Stegostoma tigrinum: one gene and its partners. The protein of the gene in region 2 purifies or fractionates together with the protein of the main gene of each other region. This does not show direct contact. Links are inferred from orthologs where the notes say so. Each region holds a gene or a part of one and is shown on either strand. Other genes may lie near its edges. The genes, in order: anapc11, anapc4 and anapc13.

Region 1 (3,749 bases), on a different chromosome or scaffold from region 2:
CTCCAGAAACATCAGTCTCTCTCCCTCTCTAGGATGCCCCTTAAAATCTATCTTTTTGACCAAGGTTTTTTGCCATCTGATCTAATAGCTCTTCGTGACTCAATGTTACATCTTTTTTCATAGTCTCTGAAGAGCCTCAAAACTTCCTCTTGTTGCTGTAGTTGTATCAATTGCAACCCATGGGATGTGGATACACCTAGATATCTTTAGAAAGTGTGTTCCAACAGTGAAGGAAAACACCATCACAATTTCATGTCAGCATAAGGGTATCCCTATGTTCTTGCTGTTCTGGTTCTTCAGAGAAATGGAGTTTGCAAAGATTATGGTGCAGCAGCTAATACACTCAGTAAAAGGAATACAGTTTGATGCACAGTACCACTTCAATATGCATGAGAAATGATTAAAGGGCAAGTCAGTCTAATGAAACTTACTTCTTTTACATTTTGTAAACGGCCATTTCTAAGCCAGATTACAGTTCCATCCCATTTGAAATAATTATTATAGCGGAAAGAAGAAATTATTGACCAGAAAGCACCTTCAGAGTGGTTCCTACTTCATGTAGCAACAGAATGAACTTTAAGAGGAAAAGAACAAATGTGAAATACAGCACAGGAACAGGCCATTCACTCCTCCAAGGCTGTGCCAATCATCATGCCCTGACTAAACCAAAAAACAAACCTTCTGCCCTTATTTGGTCCATATCTCTCTATTCCCCCCCCATTCATGTAGCCATCCAGATGCCTCTTAAATGTTGCCAATGTGCCTGCTTCCACCATCTCCTCTGACTGCATTTCACACTCCTACCACTCTCTGCATGAAAAAAAAACTTTCCTCACATATCTCCCTTAAACTCCTGCTCTCTCACCTTGAACCCGTGCCCCCTAGTAATTGAAAGTTCAACTCAGGAAAAAGCCTTTTTGACTATCCACCCTATCTATGCCTCTTGTAATTTTATAGACCTCTTGTCTTCTCAGCTGCAGTCTTTCCAGTGAAAACAATCCTAGTCTTTTTGACCTTTCCTCATAGCCAATGCGCTCCAGACTGGGCAACATCCTGGTGAACCTCCTCTGCAATTTCTCCAAAGCTTCCACATCCTTTTGTAAATGTGGCAACCAAAACAGCACACAATACTCCAAATGCGGCCTAACAAAGGTTTTATATAGCTGCAACATGTTGTGCCAACTCTTGTACTCTATGCCTCAGCTGAGGAACGCAAGCATGCCATATGCCTTCTTTGTCAGAGATGGCAACACCATCTGCCATTTCTGCGCCCAAGTTGCCAATCTATCTATATCCTGTTGTACGTTTAACAACTATCAACAATTGCACTAATCTTTGTGTCATCTGCAAATTTATTAATCAAACCACACACATTTTCCTCCAGCTCGTTTATATATACACAACAAACAACAGAGGACCTAAGACTGATCCCTGTGGAACACGAGTTACTGGTCTCCATTCTGAAAAACACCCTTCCACCATTACCCTCTGTCTTCTATGATCAAGCCAGTTTTATTTCCATCTAGCAGCCCACCCTGAATCCCATATAATTTTAGTTTTTGTACCAATCTGCCATGAGGGACTTTATTAAATGCCTTACCAAAGTCCATATAAACTACATTCACAGCTTTTTGTTCAATTATCTGTGTCATCCCTTCAAAAAATTCGGTCAGGTTGGTGAGATATAACCTTCCGTGTACAAAACCATGCTGTTTGTTGCTAACTAGTCCATTTTCTTCCAAGTGTGCATGCATCCTGTCCCTCTACCTTCTCCAAGAGCTTTCCCACCAGAAACGTCACTCACCGGCTTAATGTTGGAAATGAATTTAGGTTAGCTTGTGTTTAACTATATCCACATCATTTAAACTTTATCTTCCCAAAAATGTAAATAGGATTTGAGGGATGGGGTTTGGGGCATTGGAGGATCTGGGGGGTTTGGGGCATTGGAGGATCTGGGGGGTCGGGGCATCTCCAGTCACCCATTTTGGAGGCTTGGTCCACCCTCTACCCCATACTCTCCCACTCCTACCCATGTCTCCCGTATTCTTTCTCCCTTTCTCTTTCCCTCCGGTCCCCATTCTCTCTCTCTTCCGTACTTTCCCTCCCTCTTTTCCTTTCCCATCCCCTTACTCACAGTCCGGGCAGCAGCCGTTAAACGCCGTGCGGCAAATACCACAATTCTCGTCGTTAGCCACCCAGAACCAGGTAGCGATGGCGTTCCAGCGCTTCACCTTGACCCGCATGACGGGCGGTTCGACAGCCCGGGGCAAGGGAGAAATCTCCGGATCCTGTTCGCAATCACACTCCATTCATCATGTCTGGGCAGGCCTCCGCAACAAAGCGCTGAACTGAACACATTCTTTCGAAACACATTTCTTCTTCCCGCCACAGGGGCCAAAACAAAATACTAAAACGGGCGTCAACAGTACAACATTGAAGTTTCAGAGATCGGATATTTTTTTCCTCCAACATCGATGATGTTTCTGCGTTTGATTCCCCGCGTCGGGACCTCCGTTTCAGGCGCTCTGATTGGCCGTTCACTTTGGCGCCTCTGATTGGCGGGTTCCACAGAAGGGAGGGAGGCTTGTTTCTCCTGTATATTGGGAGAAGAGCTGATCCATTGAGAAAGAGCTCTGGGAGGAATTAGGTCCACAGAGTCATAAAGATCTATTAGCACAGAAAAAAAGGCCCTCTGGTCTTTCACGTCTACACCGGTCAAAAACAACCACCTTAAGTAATCTAATCCCATTTTCCAGCACTTGCCTTGTATGCCAACTATACATCTAAACATCATCAGAGGAGCAGGAAAGCTGACCTTTCAGGCGTAGACCCTTCATTAGAATTGGGGAAGGGGGTTCTGAAATAAATAGGGACAAGGGGGAGGCTGATAGAAGATGGATAGAGAAGATAGGTGCAGAGGAAACAGACAAGTTAAAGAAGCGGGGATGGAGCCAGTAGAGGTGAGTGTAGGTGGGGAGGTAGGGAGGGGATGGGTCAATCCGGGGAGGATGGACAGGTCAAGGGGGTGGAATGAGGGGATAGGTGAGAGGAAGAACAGGTTAGGGAGGCGGGGATAAGCTGGGCTGGTTTTGGCTCCATCCCCGCCTCTTTGACTTGTCTGCCTTCTCTCCACCTATCCATCTTCGATCTGCCTCCCCTTCTCTATTTATTTCAGAACCCCCCTTCCCCTCCCCCATTTCTGATGAAGGGTGTAGGGCTGAAACGTAAGCTTTCCTGCTGCTAAAATGCTGCTTGGCCTGCTGTGTTCATCCAGCTCCACACTTTGTCATGATAATAAAATGTGAGGCTGGATGAACACAGCAGGCCAAGCAGCATCTCAGGAGCACAAAAGCTGACGTTTCGGGCCTAGACCCTTCATCAGAGAGGGGGATGGGGGGAGGGAACTGGAATAAATAGGGAGAGAGGGGGAGGCGGACCGAAGATGGAGAGTAAAGAAGATAGGTGGAGAGGGTGTGGGTGGGGAGGTAGGGAGGGGATAGGTCAGTCCAGGGAAGACGGACAGGTCAAGGAGGTGGGATGAGGTTAGTAGGTAGCTGGGGGTGCGGCTTGGGGTGGGAGGAAGGGATGGGTGAGAGGAAGAACCGGTTAGGGAGGCAGAGACAGGTTGGACTGGTTTTGGGATGCAGTGGGTGGGGGGGAAGAGCTGGGCTGGTTGTGTGGTGCAGTGGGGGGAGGGGATGAACTGGGCTGGTTTAGGGATGCAGTGGGGGAAGGGGAGATTTTGAAAC
Region 2 (3,749 bases):
AAATGACAAACAGCAGTGCTCCCAAAACAGATCCTTGAGGCACACCACTAGTAACCGGACTCCAGACTGAATATTTTCCATCAACCACCACTCGTTGCCTTCTTACAGAAAGCCAGTTTCTAATCCAAACTGCTAAATCTCCCTCAATCCCATGCCTCCGCATTTTCTCCAATTGCCTACCAGGTGGAACCTTATCAAAGGCTTTACTGAAGTCCATGTACACCACGTCAACTGCCCTAACCTCATCCACAAGCTTGGTTACCTTCTCAAAAAACTCTGAGGTTTGTGAGACACGACTTTCCCTTGATGAATCCATGTTGATTACCTCCAATGAAATTGTTGCTTGCTAGATGATCATAAATCCTGTCTCTTATAATCCTTTCCAAAACTTTTCCTACAACAGGCCTAAGGCTCACTGGTCTTTAACTACCTGGGTCATCTCTACTGCCCTTTTTGAACAAGGGCACAACATTTGCAATCCTCCAGTCCTCTGGTACTAAACCTGTAGACAATGACGACTCAAAGATCAAGGCCAAAGGCTCCGCCATCTCCTCCCTGGCGTCCCAGAGAATCCTCGGAAAAATCCCATCCAGCCCAGGGGATTTATCTACCTTCACACCTAGAATTGATAACACCTCGTCCTTACCAACCTCAATCCTTTCAAGTCTAATAGCCCATAACTTGGTCTTCTCCTCTACAATATTCTCCTTTTCCTGAGTGAAAACAGATGAGAAATATTCATTTAGCACCTCTCCGATCTCCACAGGGTCCACACACAACTTCCCACTTCTGTCTTTGACTGGCCCTATTCCTATCCAAGTCATCCTCTTATTCCTCACATACCTATAGAAAGCTTTAGGGTTCTCCTTTATTCTACCTGCTAATGTCTGCACTTCTTAACTCTCTCTTTAAATCCTTTCTAGCTAATCTGTAACACTCCATCGCCTCATCTGAACCATCTCGTCTCAACGTCACAAAAGCCTCCCTCTTCCACTTAGCAAGAGATACAATTTCTTTAATAAACCACGGTTCCCTTACCTTATCGCTTCCTCCCTGCCTGACAGGGACATACCTATCAAGGACACGCAATATCTGTTCCTTAAACCAGCTCCACATTTTGATTGTCCCCATCCCCTGCATTTTGCTACCCCATTCTATGCCTCCTAAACCTTGCCTAATCACATTATAACTACCCTTCCCACATCTATAACTTTTGTGGCATGCTCCTATCCCTTTCTATTGCCAAACTAAACGTGACCAAATTATGGTCACTCTCTCCAAAGTGATCACCTACCACTAAATCAAACACCTGGCCTGGTTCATTACCAAGTAACAGATCCAGTGTGGCTTCCCCTCGTCGACCCTTCAACATACTGTGTCAGGAAACCCTCCAGTGTAACTTTAGAAAATATTAACGGTCTACTGTGCCACCGATTTTGGTGTTACCCACAAACTGACTAAACATGCTTTCTATTATCTCATTCAAATTGTTTATGTAATTGACAAACAAAACAGGACCCAGAACCAATCCCTGTGGGACAGCACAGGCCACGGGCTTTCAATCCGAAAAGCAACCTACATCATTACTCTCTGAGTCTTGCCATTAAGTTAATTATGTATCAACTGGCAAGCTCCTCCCCAAATCCCACATGACCTAACTTTACTAATTAGTCTACCAAGTGGAACTTTGTCAAAGGCTTTACTACAATCCAAATAAAAGTCTACTACTCCGCCATCAATCTCTTTGACACAATAAAAAACTAAATGAAGTTTGAAGCATGATTTACCTCACAAAACCACACTGACTATCCCTAATCAATTTCTGCTTCTCTAAATTTGCATGAATCATACCTTTTATAATCACCACCAACAATTCACCTACAACTGGAGTCAGACTCACAGGCCTATAGTTCCCCAGTTTCTCCAGTACAATCGTTCTCAAACACAAGGTACAACATTAGCCATGCTCCAGTTATGAAGCACCTCAACCCGTAATTACAGATGATGCAAATTCTTTCAGTTTTTATTAAGTCCTGCCCTGATTTGATTTTCTAAAACACACCACTTTTATATGAATTAAACTCCATCTGCTACTCCTTAGCCCATTGGCCCATCTGATCAAGAGCCTATTGAACTCTGTCCACGACATCTTTAATTTTGGTGTCATCTGCAAACTTACTAACCATACCTCCTCCTACATTCATGTCCAAATCATTTACATAAATGTCAAAAAGCAGAGGACCCAGCACTGACCCTTGTGGCATCTGAACAGCAACCCTCCAACACCACCTATTTTCTACCTTGGAGCCAGTTCCATATCCAAATGGCTAGTTCTCCCTGTAGTCTGTGTGATCTTAAGGTAACAAGGTGTAGAGCTGGATGAACACAGCAGGCCACGCAGCATCAGAGAAGCAGGAAAGCTGACGTTTCAGGGTCTGGACCCTTCTTCCTCTGATACTATTTGGCCTGCCGTGTTCATCCAGCTCTATACCTTGTTGGCTCAGATTCTCCAACATCGGCAGTTCCTACCGTCTGAGAGATCTAACCATGTTTACCAGTCTTCCATGAGGAAACTTGTCAGGTGCTTTTAGCACACATAATGAAGATATTTCTTCAGTTGTGTGGCTACTAACAAGGCCAGTTGCATCTTAAACAAGAAGTGACCACCCCAGATGGGCGGGAGAACCTCAGCCCCGGGACTGGAAACACCGCATGTTACCTTCAGCCCGTTTACACCAAAAGCGACAGCCACCGCCAGTCGGGTTCAAACCCACAGCCTGCATGCGTAATAGACCACTGGGGTGGTATCGCGAGAGTACACTGTGCCCGTTTGGTCACGTCAGTACAGGCGGTAGCGCGCTACGGTTACTGTGCGCGCGATTCCGTGGGCGGTTGCTAATGCGATGACGCTGGGTAAGCGCTAAATTAGAAAAAAAAGTTGCAAATGACTTGCAGCTTGACTTCTTTTAACTCTGAATTTTGTTATCTTTTAAATTTTTTTTATTTGTACACATGAGCGAAATAATACGTGTAAAGAGGGCATGGATAAACACATCCTTGGATTTTGCAGGGAAATTTGAGAAATCCGTTTTAATTTTTTTTAAATAGCTGATGGGATAATTGACTTAATTATTAGAGGGAGAACACACAAAATAAAGGAATTTATAATACATGTCTGTACAACACTTATGTCTATATAGCCCTCACTTAGAGTACTGGGTTCAGCTCTAGTCGGTACATTTGAGGAAAGTCAAGGCCATGGAAAAAGTGCTGAAAAGATTTATCAGAATAGTTCCAGGGATAGGGAACTATGCTGGAAGACTGGAGAAGCGAAAGCTGCATTCCTGAGAGGGAGATTTTAAGGACAACTTTGACAGAAGCATTGGCCAGAATATCTTCACTTCCCCAGGACTTACTTTGGCACGGGAGCAGGTAATTTCACTACTTTTCCATCTCTTCCCCAGTTAAATCATTGGGCAGATCAGTGGATGGTGTTCTTGCACTGCTGTTAATGGAGAATCTTAAATGTCCTATTAATGTCCATTTAAAGACCCCCAACTTGCTGCCACTGGTGTTAACCGTACAAGGTTGTTTACAGACTTTTGGGAACGGTGGGTCACTAATTCAAAAAGATAAATTGTGGGATCCTACATTTAGGAAGGGTGAGCTCCGTGAGGGCCATTTCCTATCCTCTTGCTTCTTTTCCCTTCTGCTGTGTTTTCACACTGTGTCACTCACAGACTTGAAGC
Region 3 (3,749 bases), on a different chromosome or scaffold from region 2:
TTCAGTGGATTGCCATTGGGAACATACAAAGTCATGCTGTTCATATCCTTTAATCAGCACTTTGTGCCATTCTCAATTTGTAAAAGGTGCTGTTAAGTGGAAATCTGTCCTTTGTTGCTTGAATTCTAAGTCTTTCCAAGTCGCCTTGACGAAAACGTTCAGCCAGTCCTTGTTTGTTAAGATTACTACTTTTAAAAAAAATCAAAAATGTTAATACCAAAAGAACTGGAATTTAACAATCTGGAGTTTCACAATCTGGAACTGAAGGTTAGTGTCAGGAATTACCACTGGTGAACCAGATGGATTTTTAAGACAGTAAGACCATTATACGCAGGAGCAGAAGTAGGCCATTCGGCCCTCAAGTCTGCTCCACCACTCAATGGGATCGCAGCTTGTCTGATGTTCCTTAACTCCATTTTCCTCGATTCCCTTGCTGATTAAAAATCCGTCTACCAAAGTTTCTGACGAAAGGACATATGCCGCCCTCACCCTCAAAAATCTGGTAGACTCGTAACTGCCCTCTGAAATACCATTCAAGTTTTTTTTAAAAAGGCAAAGGTGATCAACAAATGCTGGCCATGCCCCTGGTGCCCACATTTTACAGAAACATAAAACACAGGAAAGGTCATTCAGCCAACCAAGTCTGTCCGACCAGAACTACACTAAATCTACTCCAGCCACACTTCCCAGCTCTACACTCTTCAATATTACAATTCAAATGTTCATTTCACAGGGATATTTCACTTTAACTGTGCTGTTTGAAGTCTGTGAATGCTGCCGTCCCCTACCCCGCTGCAATCCACTCACCGACCCTGGGCCTCCCGCCTCCGTCACTAGGCAACCGCTTAAAGGGAAAGGGCCACCCGACTTAAAGGGGATGGCTCAGGCCTTTCCGTTATTTGTCGGCTCAGGAAAGAAAACGACGAAAACAAACCTCACGGCTGAGGAGGCGAGCATGGAGTTTGTCAGTGAGAGGGGGGGCGAGACAGGCTGGAAAACTGAACAGGCACAAAATAAAACTGAAAGGAAAGTGCTGTTCACTCGGAAACGGCCGCAACAACCTCGCGGCGCGGAGAGAAGCAAAATCACTGCCCGGAGCCTTTTTCGGAAGAAGGACCCCGACCCGAAATGTCAACTTTCCTGCTCCTCTGACGCCGCCTAGCCTGTTGTGCTTCTCCAGCTCCACACTCTGTTATCGCCTGAAAGTCTGTGAGCTTCCATCGGAAATCAAACACTTCACTCCAATTATTTACTGATTGTGGCCGGACCGTTCATCTGGGGGGACCGAGAGGCAGGGAGAGGCCGGACCATTCATCGGGGGGGACCGGGAGGCAGGGAGAGGGCGGACCGTTCATCGGGGGGGACCGGGAGGAAGGGAGAGGCCGGACCGTTCATCGTGGGGGACCGGGAGGCAGGGAGAGGCCGGACCGTTCATCGTGGGGGACCGGGAGGCAGGGAGAGGCCGGACCGTTCATCGGGGGGGACCGGGAGGCAGGGAGAGGCCGGACCGTTCATCGGGATTGTTGGGGGTGAGGGAGAGTCCCGGACGGTATATCGGCGGGAGGGGGGCGGGGCGAGGGGGAGACGGGGGCGGGGCGAGGGGGAGACGGGGGGCGGGGAGACGGGGGGCGGGGCGAGGGTGAGACGGGGGGCGGGGTGAGGGGGGCGGGGCGAGGGTGAGACGGGGGGCGGGGCGAGGGGGGCGGGGCGAGGGTGAGACGGGGGGCGGGGCGAGGGTGAGACGGGGGCGGGGCGGGGCGAGGAGGGGGGGGCGGGGGGAGGGGGAGACGGGGGGCGGGGGCTGTTGGGGGGGCGTACGGGCGGGGGGATGGGGTGTGGGCAGGGGGATGCGGGCGGGGTGAGTGTGGGGGTGGGGTGGGACGAAGAGTGGGGGTTGGAGCAGAAGGGGCACGACGGCGCGGAGGGGAGGGTAGTGGTGGGAGGGGTGGGGTGTGGAGGGATGGGGCAGGGCGTGGCGGGGGTTGGGGAGGGAGGAGGGGCAGGGCGGTGGGGAGGGTAGGGACGGGCAGAAGGAGTGGGACGGACGTGGCGGGGGTGAGGCGGGAATGAACGGTGGGGAGGGGCGGAGCAGGACAGGGTGGGAGGGCAGGTCGGAACAGGGTGGTGGGGCGGGACAGGTTGGGAGGGTCGGGGTGGGACGGTTGGGGGGGGGGGCAGCGCCGGTGGGGGGAGGGACGGGACGGGGTCTGTGAAGAGAGAAACAGAGTTAATGTTTCTATCCCGATGTTCCTTCCTCAGAACGGCACACAGCTGGGTTCATTTACTTGTTTTAACCCAATGGATGTGTGAGGTGGCACGTTTGAAGTTTCAAGCGGAGTCAGGAGATCAGAGCAAAGACATACAGACTTACATTTCTATAACATGTTTAATGTCCATACAGATCCTCAGCCAATGAAGAAATTCTGAAGTCGCCATTGATGTACTGTATACACAGGAAGCACCCACAAACAGTATATGTGCGAGTGACCAGATTTTTATTAACCCAAGCGACCTGAGGTATTTGATTAAATGCTTGGCATGTAGGATAACAAAGCCTAATGGAAACCGAAAAGGTTGACTTAGTACAGTTCATGCTGAATCTGTTGAGAAGATTGTGCTAGTCTTTTGAGAAGGACTTCTTAGGGAAGATCAACAAATACTAGCTTTGGTGATGTCCAAATGTGATGAAAGTAAAAATTCATCCACGATTAAGGAATTGAGCTATGAGAAGATTTGGTATAATTATGTTATCTGAAAATGAAATTGAAAGATTTTACTCCCAAGATGTACAATGTTAAATGGAGAAACTTCTTGGGGAAAATTGAAACAAAGCAACATAATCTTCAAGTCCAGCTTAAATGAATATGTTGCAAAGGCCAAAGATGCAAAATCATTTGAAGGAAACACTTAGAAAACACTTAGAAAAATCAAGGGATATCAACAAAGTGCTGAAGAAACTTGGGTTTGGGAGCATCTGGAGAGAGGAAAACAGTTAATATTGTTCTGAAGGGAATGTAGGTCTTAAAGCTTAAACTCTGTTTTTCTCTCTGTAAACGGAGAGGCGCTAGTAAAATAATATAGACTCGATGGGCTGTTTAGCTTAGATTTTGTCTGGTAATGTATCTGCCACATATTGTTAATTGAATTAGCTGTCAGCACGTCCTAACTATCCCATTGAGCAAACTGATTTTCAGTATGTACGTCACAATTTTTTAAAAGGCAAATTACAACAGCAAATTTTATGTCAGTCAATCCAAACAAAATTCTTGCATTCATTTAGTAGTCTTCACAACCTCATGATTTTACAACTTGTTTCGCAGCCAGAAGTTTTGCTGCATATTGATGTAATTATTTTTATTCTTTTGTAGGATGTGGAATTTGCTTAGGTCTATATTTATTGCCCATTCCTAACTACTTAGAAAGCAGTTAAGAATCAACCGCATTGCTGTTCATCTGGAGTCATATCTAGGACAGATCAGGTAAGGATATAGATTTCCTTCCTTAAAGGACCGCAGTGAACCCGGTGAGTTATTGAGTGGTGGTTATCCACTTACTGTTACGGTAGCTCTCTATTCCAGATTTTAATTGAATTCAGATTTCACTGCCATAGTGACGTCAACATGTACGTCCCCAGAATATTGTCGTGTGATATTCGTTTTGGGTTCTGAATTCCTATTTCATTGACAACACTACGAGGCCACCACCTCCCTATTTGTACAGAGCAAGCTCCCACAAGTAGCATCACTGTT

The links.
Region 1: the proteins of anapc4 (region 2) and anapc11 purify together in Homo sapiens (affinity purification with mass spectrometry; 8 studies listed by BioGRID and IntAct, with this or other methods). This does not show direct contact. The link is inferred for Stegostoma tigrinum from reciprocal best matches to the Homo sapiens genes ANAPC4 and ANAPC11.
Region 3: the proteins of anapc4 (region 2) and anapc13 purify together in Homo sapiens (affinity purification with mass spectrometry; 9 studies listed by BioGRID and IntAct, counting the BioPlex papers as one, with this or other methods). This does not show direct contact. The link is inferred for Stegostoma tigrinum from reciprocal best matches to the Homo sapiens genes ANAPC4 and ANAPC13.

Annotation. Positions count from the first base shown.
Region 1 is NC_081375.1:22,114,172-22,117,920, reverse strand, and holds the start of anapc11 (anaphase-promoting complex subunit 11), read right to left. Parts: upstream 2,521-3,749; 5' UTR 2,310-2,520; coding exon 2,135-2,309; intron 1-2,134. UniProt on the Homo sapiens protein: Together with the cullin protein ANAPC2, constitutes the catalytic component of the anaphase promoting complex/cyclosome (APC/C), a cell cycle-regulated E3 ubiquitin ligase that controls progression through mitosis and the G1 phase of the cell cycle.
Region 2 is NC_081354.1:88,970,656-88,974,404, forward strand, and holds the start of anapc4 (anaphase-promoting complex subunit 4), read right to left. Parts: upstream 2,855-3,749; 5' UTR 2,720-2,854; intron 1-2,719. UniProt on the Homo sapiens protein: Component of the anaphase promoting complex/cyclosome (APC/C), a cell cycle-regulated E3 ubiquitin ligase that controls progression through mitosis and the G1 phase of the cell cycle.
Region 3 is NC_081385.1:20,042,010-20,045,758, reverse strand, and holds the start of anapc13 (anaphase-promoting complex subunit 13), read left to right. Parts: upstream 1-1,394; 5' UTR 1,395-1,529; exon of another isoform or gene 1,530-1,538; intron 1,539-2,401; 5' UTR 2,402-2,517; intron 2,518-3,368; 5' UTR 3,369-3,479; intron 3,480-3,749. UniProt on the Homo sapiens protein: Component of the anaphase promoting complex/cyclosome (APC/C), a cell cycle-regulated E3 ubiquitin ligase that controls progression through mitosis and the G1 phase of the cell cycle.